3 linked regions of the Ovis aries genome follow. The protein of the gene in region 1 interacts with the protein of each later gene in a pairwise test. Links are inferred from orthologs where the notes say so. Each region holds a gene or a part of one and is shown in the gene's direction. Other genes may lie near its edges.

The links.
Region 2: the proteins of COPG1 (region 1) and COPZ1 interact in a two-hybrid assay, tested with the Homo sapiens proteins (2 studies listed by BioGRID). The link is inferred for Ovis aries from reciprocal best matches to the Homo sapiens genes COPG1 and COPZ1.
Region 3: the proteins of COPG1 (region 1) and COPZ2 interact in a two-hybrid assay, tested with the Homo sapiens proteins (2 studies listed by BioGRID). The link is inferred for Ovis aries from reciprocal best matches to the Homo sapiens genes COPG1 and COPZ2.

What each region holds. Positions count from the first base shown.
Region 1 is NC_056072.1:59,032,422-59,035,981, forward strand, and holds part of COPG1 (coatomer subunit gamma-1), read left to right. Parts: intron 1-100; coding exon 101-198; intron 199-1,824; coding exon 1,825-1,963; intron 1,964-2,415; coding exon 2,416-2,514; intron 2,515-3,560. UniProt on the Homo sapiens protein: The coatomer is a cytosolic protein complex that binds to dilysine motifs and reversibly associates with Golgi non-clathrin-coated vesicles, which further mediate biosynthetic protein transport from the ER, via the Golgi up to the trans Golgi network.
Region 2 is NC_056056.1:132,224,484-132,228,671, reverse strand, and holds the start of COPZ1 (coatomer subunit zeta-1), read left to right. Parts: upstream 1-1,359; 5' UTR 1,360-1,384; coding exon 1,385-1,402; intron 1,403-4,025; exon of another isoform or gene 4,026-4,082; intron 4,083-4,188. UniProt on the Homo sapiens protein: The coatomer is a cytosolic protein complex that binds to dilysine motifs and reversibly associates with Golgi non-clathrin-coated vesicles, which further mediate biosynthetic protein transport from the ER, via the Golgi up to the trans Golgi network.
Region 3 is NC_056064.1:38,174,284-38,178,588, forward strand, and holds the start of COPZ2 (coatomer subunit zeta-2), read left to right. Parts: upstream 1-1,476; 5' UTR 1,477-1,496; coding exon 1,497-1,607; intron 1,608-1,954; exon of another isoform or gene 1,955-2,023; intron 2,024-2,258; coding exon 2,259-2,333; intron 2,334-3,965; coding exon 3,966-4,047; intron 4,048-4,305. UniProt on the Homo sapiens protein: The coatomer is a cytosolic protein complex that binds to dilysine motifs and reversibly associates with Golgi non-clathrin-coated vesicles, which further mediate biosynthetic protein transport from the ER, via the Golgi up to the trans Golgi network.

The sequences.
Region 1 (3,560 bases):
GGGCAGGCTGGCCTGGGCCGCTGGCGCGGTCGAGGCCTGGAGGACAGGCTGTGGCCGCCTGCCCGCAGAGGCCCCCAACGGCGTGCCTTCCCTCCTGCAGTGGCCTGCACGTTCAGCTGCATGATGAAGTTCACTGTCAAGGACTGCGACCCCACCACCGGGGAGGCGGACGATGAGGGCTACGAGGATGAGTATGTGGTAAGCGCCGGCGGGGCCCGCAGGGCTCACGCCAGCCTGCACGCGTGTGCGCTGGTTTCGGTTTAGACGTCGCAAAAGAGTTCTTGTTTTTAACTTAAAAAATACATGTTCAAGTGTCACAAGAAAACCTGGGAAATAGAAAAACAAGTACACTCAGGCAGGGAAACGTTCACTGTAGCCCTTGGGAATGGCTGCGGGGAGAGAAGCTGTGTCTGATGTCATTACATACATTACAGATCTTGTTGGTTTCCCTTAGAACCAGGGTGTAATTTCCCGTCAGTACAAATACTTCATAAACACAAGTCTTAGTGACTTTAAAATACTCCCTTCTATTGACATATCCTAATTCACCTCACTTTGTATTCCAATAACATTGGGCATTTGTGATTCCAAATTCTCACTGTTTTTGAGTGCTACAGTAAACACCCCTTTCAGTAAAAATTTGTGCCTGTGTTTCAGACCTGTCTTGTGACTGGAAGTAGAATAATTAAAAAAACATTTAAAATAATTAAAAAAACAAGTAGGATAATCGGGTCAAAGACGCAGGACGGTTTCAGGGCTTTTTGGTTCCTGCCATCAGTCGCTTTCTAGAGAGACGGGGTCAGTTTGTGTCTGTCAGCGACCTTCTGACGCAGTGAGGTGCCCCTTCCGGCTCCAGCTCGCGGGGCTAGCACAGAGCCGAGGGCAGGGTCATTCTCGATTTGCCCGGCGTGCGGCGGCTCCCTGCCATCTGAGTGCAGACCCTGACAGGCAGCCTGGGATGGAGACGGCCAGGGCCCTCGTAGCCAGAGGGGCAGTCGCTGGGGCACACCCGATGGGCACTTGTGTCCTCCCGGGTCCAGGCCTGAGCCAGCAGTGCGCGCAGCCAAGGCCAGGAGGGCTGGGTATGAAGCCCGGCTTCTGCCACAGGGGCTGTGTCCTACCTGTGAACGCCCTCCCCGCGCACGGGAGCAGGGGCTCAGCAGAGAGCTGCTGGTGAATGAGCGGGAGCCTTTCCACACAGTCGGTCCAGGGTGCGCGTCCAGAGCGGGCCCGGCTGACTCGGGGCGGCCTCTGAGCACTCCTCCCCACCCCGCCCCATCAAGTCAGGCACTGGCGGCTTCGGAGGGCGCGCTCTCACAGCCAACACCCCGAGAGGAGGACAGGGGCCCCTCCATATCTGTGGGTTCTGCCTCCATGGATCCAACCAACAGACGGAAAATGGAGTGGGTTCCAGAAAATTCGCAAGAGCAAAACGTGAGCTTGTCACACAAGGCAGCTATGTACTTAGCGTTTGCACTGTGTTTACGTCTGTTTCCATGACACTTACATCATATCGGGTATTATAAACGCTTGAGAGGTGGCGCAGAGCATAAGGAAAACGTGCGCAGCTTAAACGCAAACACGGCGCTGCTCCACGTAGAGGACTGGAGCCCCCAGGAGCTCGCTGTCTGAGGGCGCGTCCCGCCGAGGGGCCACCACCCGGCCGTGAGCTGCTGAGGACAGGCCGCTGGTCCGCTGGGGCCCGCCCCGGAGCCCAGCGCTCGGAGCCTGCGCGGTGGGAGGGGCGGGTGGGCAGAGCGGAGCGGAGGCTCTCGCCGTCTCTCCTGGAGCTGTGTGCCTCAGGACCCTCCTATCGCCCCCCAGCTGGAGGACCTGGAAGTCACGATAGCGGATCACATCCAGAAGGTCATGAAGCTGAACTTCGAGGCAGCCTGGGACGAGGTCGGGGATGAGTTCCAGAAGGAGGAGACGTTCACCTTGTCCACCATCAAGACACTCGAGGGTAAATGCTGGGGGTGCCGGCTCTGGTTTGCCTGCCTTTCAAGACCCTTGGCCACTGTTAAAGTGCTCCTCCTCCCCCCGTCCCCGCCCCCGTCCCCCAAAGATCCAGGGCCAAGTCTAGAGCATACAGTTCAGATACACAGAATAATAAAAAAGTCGCTCAGTCATGTCCGACGCTTTGCGACCCCGTGAACAGTGCAGGCCATGGAATTCTCCAGGCCAGGACACTGGAGAGGGTAGCCTTTCCCTTCTCCAGGGGATCTTCCCAACCCAGGGATCGAACCCAGGTCTCCCACACTGCAGGCGGATTCTTCACCAGCTGAGCCACAAGGGACAGTTCAGATGCTGCTCATTAAAAGCTGCATACAGTGGGATTTGGGGCTGGGGGAGTGGTGATAGCGCCAAGTGGAGATGAGCTACGTGGGTTAATAACTCTGGGACTCCTCCCTGCAGAGGCTGTGGGCAATATCGTCAAGTTCTTAGGAATGCACCCTTGTGAGCGGTCTGACAAAGTGCCGGACAACAAGAACACGCACACGCTGCTCCTGGCCGGTGAGTGGCGTTTCTCGTGGGAAGGGCCTGGGTGCCCCTGGGTAACCCGGGGATTTAGGGCTCGCAGCGCGGAACATCACAAGGTATGAGAAGGCCAGCTAGCGCCGTTTTCCCCCGGCGCTTGCTGCCAGTCAGTGTCCCTGCCCACGGGCAGCCAGTGAGCTCCTACACAGGCCTCCAGGCGCCTCCCTGTGATCCTAAGGGTGTGAGAGCAAGTGTGCATGCTGCCCTGTGCAGAGTCAGACAGCCGTATGCAGACGGCGGGCACGCTGCTTTGCACTTGGCTGTTCACTTCACCGTGCATCTTGGAGAGCCTCCTGGTTTTTTTCCTTTTTTTAATAACATGAAATTTACCAATGTAGTGATTTTCACATCAGCTCAGCAGCGTTAAGTACATTCCCGCTGTTTTGCAACTATCGCCATCACCCACCTCCAGAACTTTCCCGTCTTCCCAGACGTCTTCCCAGACTGAGCTCTGGTTGTTTCTCATGGCTGAGTACTGTCTCTCAGAACCAGCACGTGGACTGAGGGACACCTAGGTGGTTCTCGTGTTCTGCCATTACAGACTGCGCTGCAGGGAACAACCCCACACACACGTGTCTGCTTAGGCACTTTATTTTGGATGTGTGCACTCTGGGTATTTGTAGGGTGAGTTTCTCAAGGCTTTACCAGGTCAAAGTGCATCTTTCATCTCGGTAAATATCTCCAGCTGCCTTCCATAGGAATCGTGTGCCTTCTCTCCCACACTTCCAACCGGGCAGCGTGTTCGCAACCTGCGCGGCCTGTGCTGGGCGTGTCCGTGTGTCTCGAGTGGCTTCACTCTGAGTGTCCTGTGTACTGACGGGCGCTCAGCATCTCAAGTGCGATCTGCCATGATTGCTCTCACCCCCTCTGACGTGAAACAGCGCGTGCATTCTATTTATTTCTATAGTTTCCACTGAGTTGGTTATTCCTTTCTGATAGGAATGGGGTTTTTAAGCAGTTCTGGGAATTTTCAAACACACACACGGAACCCCCGTGCACTCCTCCCCCAGCCGTAGCAGCAA
Region 2 (4,188 bases), on another chromosome or scaffold:
CCTAGAGTTGGACATGACTGAAGCGACTTAGCAGCAACAGCATACTTTTCTCTTAGGCAGTCTGATTCTGCTCTGAAAATTTTAGAAGAACTCCTGGGTTTAGATACTCTTTTTGGAGAGCTACTAAAGACATAACTGTTAGAGATGGAATTTAAAAAAAACTAAACCCACAAAAACCTCTGAGGGACAATATAAGGCAATAAGGGCTTCCCTGATGGCTCAGATGGTAAACAATTCAAGTGCGATGCAGGAAACCCAGGTTCCATCCCTGGGCCAGGAAGATTCCTCAGAGAAGGGAATGGCTACTCACTCCAGTATTGTTGCCTGGAGAATTCCATGGACAAGGGAGCTGGTGGGCTACAGCCCATGGGGTTGCAAAGAGTTGGACTCAACCAGCGACTAACACACATATAAGGCAAATAAAGGTGTCCCTGACCTACGAAACGTCAGGGACCAAGAAACTGAAGGGTGAGGAAAGCTAAACTTCATCAAAATCCCTCCCTATTGTGAAATCTCTGCATTCAGTAAACTTCTCTTTTCTCATTGTGCAATGGCTTGTCCCTACTGGAAAACAGCATACCCTGCTCCCTACATCGTTCCTTATCCTGGACCCTTTATTCCTGTGTCCCTCAGCATCCAAAGATCTCAAATCCCGTTTCACGGCTGGCCAAACAAAATCTGCTTTTAGAAAACTCACTAGCTTCTTGTCCTTCCCTGGATCAAGCAAAGTCTGGGACTCCACCTAGGGTAGATTGTTATTTTTAGCAATCAACCTCTAGCGGCCTTCTTTTTATCAAAGTAACACGCTGGTCATCTTGTGGCTTTACTTTATGACTGTGCAGACTTTGAGTATGCTGAAGTGATCTGAGCGAATCTGAAGGAAGAGCTAGTAGTGTTTGCCAAAGCTACCGTGAACATCGGGGACCCAATGGAGGCTCCGGAATGAAGATTCCGGTGGGATTACATCAAGACCTGCCAGTGTGAAGGGCCAAAGAGACACAGCGCCCCCTAAAGGGAGTGCGAATCAAAGTTACTAAATCCGACCGATGATATCACGTGCCCTCCGCCAGGCCAATTGAAAATTAACAATCGCTTCCTCTGTTCCCCATGGAAACAACCCCGCCCCTCTGACCTTCCCTCTCCATTCAGCCTTGAGGTTTTGTCGTTTTATTGAATGTTTAAACTGACAATCAAATACCTGCGCCTTCTGGCTGGACACCTTGCTTCCGCTAAGCAAACTAGTACACTGATTGGTCAATAAAATAATAGATGACATTTGGGCGTCCAATAACCTTCATCCCAGGCGGGATCTAATGAGGACGTAGGGCCAATCAGAGGCGGCGTTGCCTCTGTGGTTCCACGTCGGCACCAGCTGCGGGGCAAGATGGAGGCGCTGATTTTGGTAGGAGCTGGAGGGGCACCCGAGATCCTGCACTGTCCAGGGGGGCCGGGAGTCGGAGTTCAGTCTGAGTGGGAGGGGGTAGAAAGGGGAGTTCCTGGTAATCCTCGGGGTCCGAACGTTTTGCAGGTCCCTGGAATAAGCCTGTGGCCTAGTGCCGGAGCTAAAGCCTCGGTTTAGAGTAGGAAGCTGTGCCGGGGTTAGGGCAGAGTTGGTGGAAAGTTGAAGGGAGCACATGGAGTCCTTAGGACACATAGGATCATAAGCGTACTGGATTGGGGTCCTTCAGATTCTCTCTGATTATGTGCATTGTGGATGATACTGTGATTTGAGTTCCCCCAAATCTCCAAACTCGCCTCGAATTGTAAGAATAGAGTGCAGGTGTTTGTCATCACAGAAAACTTGTCACAGTGCAACTCTCCGTTGATAATTCCCTGTCGTAGACCTTAAAAAAAAAACTATTTTCTTCTTCGATTTCCTACTATGTAGATTTTGTCATCATAAAGAATCAGTATTCCATTAGAGTTCTGGAATACCTGATAAGAGTTAGTGTTGGATTGTGGAATGTTTTTTCAGACTTCTTAATCTGTTCTCCTTTTCCCGGTTCATTTAAATTTTGGGAATTCTTACTATAGTAGGATCTGGGATGCCAACTTTTCTCTGGTTATGTAAGAATTTTGGTGACTGAAGAGGTGTGTTACCTCCCCTGTCCATATAATCCTTTTTGCTTGCTCAAAAAAAAAAAAAAAACAAAAAACTATTATCTCTTCTTTAGAACTGAGCATTTCTCTCAAAAGTGCCCCACCCCTTTCAAACGTGGGGTTGTTAACATATATATGTATGTGTAATGTGTAGGAATTTAACTCCCAGCTTCTTAATTGAATTGAACTCTAGGTTCCTTTTTTACCCCCCTTCAGCTCTTCATATGTACACCTCCAAATCCTCATCAGGTTAAAGAGAATAACAGGTTTCAATATCCCTCTTTCAAAATGGCAAATGCAGGGATTCAGTTCAGTTCAGTCGCTCAGTCGTGTCTGACTCTTTGCAACCCCATGAATCGCAGCATGCCAGGCCTCCCTGTCCATCACCAACTCCCAGAGTTTACCCAAACTCATGTCCATCGAGTCAGTGATGCCATCCAGCCATCTCATCCTCTGTCGTCCCCTTCTCCTCCTGCCCTCAATCCCTCCCAGCATCAGGATCTTTTCCAATGAGTGAATTCTTTGCATGAGGTGGCCAAAGGATTGGAGTTTAGCTTCAGCATCAGTCTTTCCAATCAACACCCAGGACTGATCTCCTTTAGGATGGACTGGTTGGATCTCCTTGCAGTCCAAGGGACTCTCAAGAGTCTTCTCCAACACCACAGTTCAAAAATATCAATTCTTCAGTGCTCAGCTTCTTCATAATCCAATTCTCACATCCATACATGACCACTGGAAAAACCATAGTCTTAACTAGATGGACCTTTGATGGCAAAGTAATGTCTGTGCTTTTGAATATGCTATCTAGGTTGGTCATAACTTTTCTTCCAAGGAGTAAGCGTCTTTTAATTTCATGGCTGCAGTCACCATCTGCGGTGATTTTGGACTCCAAAAAAATAAAGTCTGACACTATTTCCCCATCCATTTGCCATGAAGTGATAGGACCAGATGCCATGATCTTCGTTTTCTGAATGTTGAGCTTTAAGCCAACTTTTTCACTCTCCTGTTTCACCTTCATCAAGAGGCTTTTTAGTTCCTCTTCACTTTCTGCTAGTTTCTTCCAAAAATATGGTTTGTTTAAGTCTAGGTAGAAAGCTTTGAAATCTTACTAAAGATATTTTCTGTACCAACCAGTTAACCAGTGTTCTTAACTAGTTAACAGACTGAGATGAATTCTAGGGAATTGGTTTCTTTGGAAGTTTTAAGAAAATTTTAGACTGCCCCTTAGTTCTGTTTAGAAGGGAGCCTGCTTATAGGTAAAGGAGTGAGGAAGATGATACTCCAGGAGCCCTTTTAACAAGGGATCTGTGTGTAGAGTGACCTGAGTTATATGTGAAAGTCTCTCTCCCTCTCACATTTTCTCTTACTTCAGTTCTTATCTTTGCTTCCATAATGAAGTTTGTTTTGACCTGCTTCTTCCTTATATCCATTTTAATCTTTACCTAAGATGCTTCATTCACAGATCCTTGCTGACCTGATCAGGTATCCCTGAAGTTTGCTTTAGAAACCTTACTGATTCTTTGTCCTGAGGAACCTATGTGATGTGTAAGGGGAAACGAAGATTAAGGGAAAAGGGCTTCCTCGAGTAAGCACAGTCAAAACCAGGATTAGTTTTTGACTCCTAATCCTCCCAGACCTAGTATTTCTCTCATATTATCGTGTGCTTCCACCTCTTCAGTATGCCAAATTGCACATTCAACTATCAGTTATATAAAACGTTAGTTAGGTACAAAGTACCAACTTTCAAAGTACCAACAAAGTACCAATACAAGTTCTTGTCACCAGAGTTCTTAGAATATCATATTAGTAATTTCCTTCCTCTTTGTCTGTGCTTCCCAACATTTTTGTATGTGTGTGCTCATTACTACCTTCAATATATTTTGGGCCCCCAATTAAGAACTTACGTATCTTTCTCTCCATTCCAGCCCTTCTCAACTGGAGTTCCAGGGGAGAATTAAGCCCTAATGCCGTAAGACATCATTGTATGTAATGAATCAATTTCTCTGTATACGCAGTGTCACTAGTTTTATACTATCTTTGGGAAGAGTAAAAAAATAGTATTAAATAATTTTCAGTATTCAGTGTTTC
Region 3 (4,305 bases), on another chromosome or scaffold:
CTACTAAGTCACTTCAGTCGTGTCCGACTCTGTGTGACCCCATAGACGGCAGCCCACCAGGCTCCCCCGACCCTGGGATTCTCCAGGCAAGAACGCTGGAGTGGGTTGCCATTTCCTTCTCCAATGCATGAAAGTGAAAAGTGAAAGTGAAGTCGCTCAGTCCTGTCCGACCCTCAGCAACCCCATGGACTGCAGCCTTCCAGCCTCCTCCGTCCATGGGATTTTCCAGGCAAGAGTACTGGAGTGGGGTGCCATTGAAGTACTGTTAATTTCCCACTAGCCTTGAAGATTCTGAAGCTAAAGCCCTCTAGTATACTTAATGGGTTTCCCTAGTGACTCAGGCAGAGAAGGCAATCGTGACCCACTCCAGTACTCTCGCCTGGAGATTCCCATGGACAGAGAAGCCTGGTAGGCTGCAGTCCATGGAGTCGCTAGGAGTCGGGCTCGACTGAGCGATTTCACTTTCACTTGTCACTTTCATGCATTGGAGAAAGAAATGGCAACCCACTCCAGTATTCTTGCCTGGAGAATCCCAGGGATAGAGGAGCCTAGTGGGCTGCCATCTATGGGGTCACACACAGTTGGACACGACTGAAGCGACTTAGCAGCAGCAGTGGCTCAGGGGTAAAGAATCTGCTTCCTATGCAGGAGACAAGAGTTCATTCCCTGGGTTGGGAAGGTCCTGGAGAAGGAAATGACAACCTACTTCTGTATTCTTGCCTGGAAAACTTCATGGACAGAGGAGCATGGGAGTCTACAGTCTTTGGATTCAAAGAGTCGGACACGACATAGTGATTAAACCACCTAGTATACCTAGGCCAAAGGAACCAAAGCATAGCAAAGCCTGATGCCATTCACAGGCGGAACATTTGTACTGCTGGGTATCTGTCTCATTTCAGATTGTGTCCGTGTCTGCAGAGGTGTCCAGGCGCTATGGCTGCCTTCCCCAAGTCTCGGGAGAGGCATGGGAGAAACTCTACTGCACAGAGGAGTCTCTCTAGAGCTGTCCTCATCTGCTCCCGCTGCTAGGACCTGTCTCTGAAGTCCAAAGGATGACCTGATGTGTTTGTGCCAACAGTACCTACCAGGAGTCCAGAGACAAACTGGACTTTGCCTGTGTTTTCTGATGGCTTCAGGGCAGCCTGTGGACGTCGGTGCAAACCAAACCCACAAGCCAGAGAGAAGGCAGGAGGGGGAAAGGAGGCCGTTCTTGAGACAAACTGAGGACACAAGGAGCTCTGGGCTTTGAGGGGCCGAGGAGGGCGAGAGGAAGGAGAGCCAGGGGAAGGAGAGCTGGGGTGTGAGCGCAGGGCGGAGAGGGCGGGAAGGGAGAGGAGGGAGGGCGAGGAGGGAAGGGCCTCGGGGAAAGGAAGGACACGCGCGGAGGGGCTGAGAGGGGCGGGCGCGAGGCCGGCGGCCGCCGGGGAGGAGCGGCGGCGGCCCGGGGGGCGCGGGGCGGGGCGGGGCGGCGCTGTCAGCGCGAGGCAGCGAGCGGAATGCAGCGGCCGGAGGCCTGGCCACGTCCGCACCCGGGGGAGGGGGCCGCGGCCGCCCCGACTGGGGGCCCGGCGCCGCCCGCCCGAGCTGGGGAGCCCGCGGCGCTGCGGGTACGGAGCGGGCGGCGCCGGGGGCCGGGGGGCGCCAGCTCGCGGGCCGGGCGCCGGGGAACTTGCTGCCGCCGGGACCGGCCTGGGAGGGGCGGCGCCCGCGCGGGCAGAAAAGTTCCTCCGCGCTGACTCGGGAGGAGGCCGGTGCGGCGTCCGCGTGGGCGAAGTTCTGGAGCAGTCGGAGCGGGCGGGGACGGCTCGGCCCGGCTGGATTGCGTCTCTCCCGGAGGGCTAGGGAGCGCGGGGCCGCCCCGGCGGCGGGCTGACGTGCGTGCTTCTGGAGCCCGACGGGCCAGGGCGCCGGGGGCCGCTGGAGGAGCTCGGCGCCGCTGTCCCCCCGGCCCAGGTTCTGTGATACACTCCGACTCGGGCTCTGGAGCAGTCAGTGCATGACAGAACTTGGGCCCGGACGGACCTTCTGCACCCAATGGGCACAGCGCCCACCCAGGGCCTGCAGTGGGACATCTGCCTGGGAGGGGAGCGGGCACCCGAGTGGTCCATGTGGCATAGGGTTGGGCCGAAACCAGCTGTGAACTTTTGGGGCTAGGGTCGCTGGCCTGAGGATGGACTCTTGGGATCAGCAGATCACGTAGAGCCGATGACAGGGGTCTGCGCTGGCTTAGGGGCCAACAAAGCTCTCCCCCGTGTCAGTTGCAGGAACCTTCCCTCTACACTATCAAGGCCGTTTTCATCCTAGATAATGACGGACACCGCCTGCTGGCCAAGGTAACCTCCCACCCTCACCGGAGGGCCCCTGAAGACACTGTGCCACAGGCCCAAGTCCAGAAGTCCCCACCCAGCTGACTCACCTGGCAGGAGAGACCCCACTGTGGGCTCTGCAACACAGAGCAGCTCAGCTGAGACCCTTCCAAAGGTCATTCTGTCCATCCTCCTGCCTTGTCAGAATGCTGGCCCCCAAAGAGGGGGAGGGGCTGTCTCTTCTGTTTCTACTCATGTTCCCCGGAATGTCTTCTCACTGTCCTTTGCACTGGCCTGGGACCCTGGATACCTGGTCCCCCAATTCTGAACAAGTACCCTCTGCTTTGCTTTTACAGCTTGGTAAACACTAAGGATTTAAAACATAGGATTTTATAGACCAGATTTTAATCCAACTCTTTCATAAATGAGGAAAAGGTAGTCTAGAGAAGCTAGAGTTGCCTGGAATCACAGGTACTAATATCAGAGCAGGGATCCAAACTCTGGTATTTTGACTTGAAGCTCAGGAGGATGATTCTCTCTGCACCAACTATTCAGTTATCTGGTATATATGCTAGTGATCATGGCCGGACAAACCAAACTAGAATAATCCAAAAATAAATATCTACCATCAACACAATTAACTATAGTGGGGCTGTGACACCTAAACTAGCTATGAAATGCAACGTAGACTTTTTAGATTGTTTAGATTGTTTTTAGACTTTTTAGATTGAAACTTCTTGTCTTCATGACATTGCAGGGAGCCTGTTCATCACAACAGTGGCTGGCAGGGAGACCACTAATTTGCCTGCAGATGGGGCACTAGGTGGCAAAATCTACATTCAGAAAATGGAAGCTGAGCTGACCGTCCCTTGCCCTAGCAGATGGTCAGAGGTAGCTCAGCAACCAAAGGTTCCAGGGCCTCCTCCCAGCAGATCACATCCATGTGCAAATGCAGGAACTGAGTCAGAGAGACAGTCTTATCAAACCCAACAAAACAGCATTGATTTCCTTAGGCAGTGTGTGCCAGGAACTCTGCCTTAGATAGTTCATCTTCACCGTAGTTGTCATTGTTGTTTAGTTGCTATGTCGTGTCAACTCTTTCGACTGTAGCCACCAGGCTCCTCTGTCCATGGGATTTCCGAAGCAAGAATACTGGAGTGGGTTGCCATTTCCTTCTCCAGGGGATCTTCATCATAATCCTGTCTGAAGTCAGACTATCGCTGCCATTGCATCCCAGCTCTGTCCCTTAAACTGTGAGGTGTCAGGGAAGTTACCCCATCCATACAATGTGGATAATAAAATAGCTGTTATGATATTATTGTGGTAAAGAGCCCCTGGTTCTGCCTTCTTTCCTGTAGACTCAGGTTAGTGTAGAAACAGTGTGGCTAGTGACTGCCCCAGCCATCTGCTGAATGCACAAAGGTCTCCAAGAAATCAGGACAGGACTCCAAAGGCAGGCCTCAAAATTCCTCTACTTTTTATGACTCTCTTTGCTCAGAATTTGTGTTTAGGAGGAAATAGCAGACAGGCATAGAGGGCAGTCAAGAGGAGAGGGGGCATGGCAGCAGGGTCCCACTTGGCCAGCACCCTGCCACCCATCCAGGGAGAAGCCAGACCCTGTGGAACGGCTGTCACTTTTTCTCCTTCCCTTCCTCCTAGTATTATGATGACACATTCCCCTCCATGAAAGAGCAGATGGCCTTCGAGAAAAATGTCTTCAACAAGACCAGCCGAACTGACAGTAAGTGTCCTCATCTTCCTTGCGCAGAACTCTCAGATGCACACTGTCATCTCCGCCTGGACAGAGCTGTCCCTGTCGGCCTCACATACCCACAGGCCATTCCCTTTTCTTCAGAGGTGTTTTTTCCTCCCCTTCCCAGCTGTTCCCTTTTCTCTTCTGGTGAACCTTCACCCTCCTCCCCTTCACCAGCACACACACACCCCCGCTACTGCCACCTGCTCCCACCTACCTGCTTCTGGCATGCCTGGACTCCTTTCA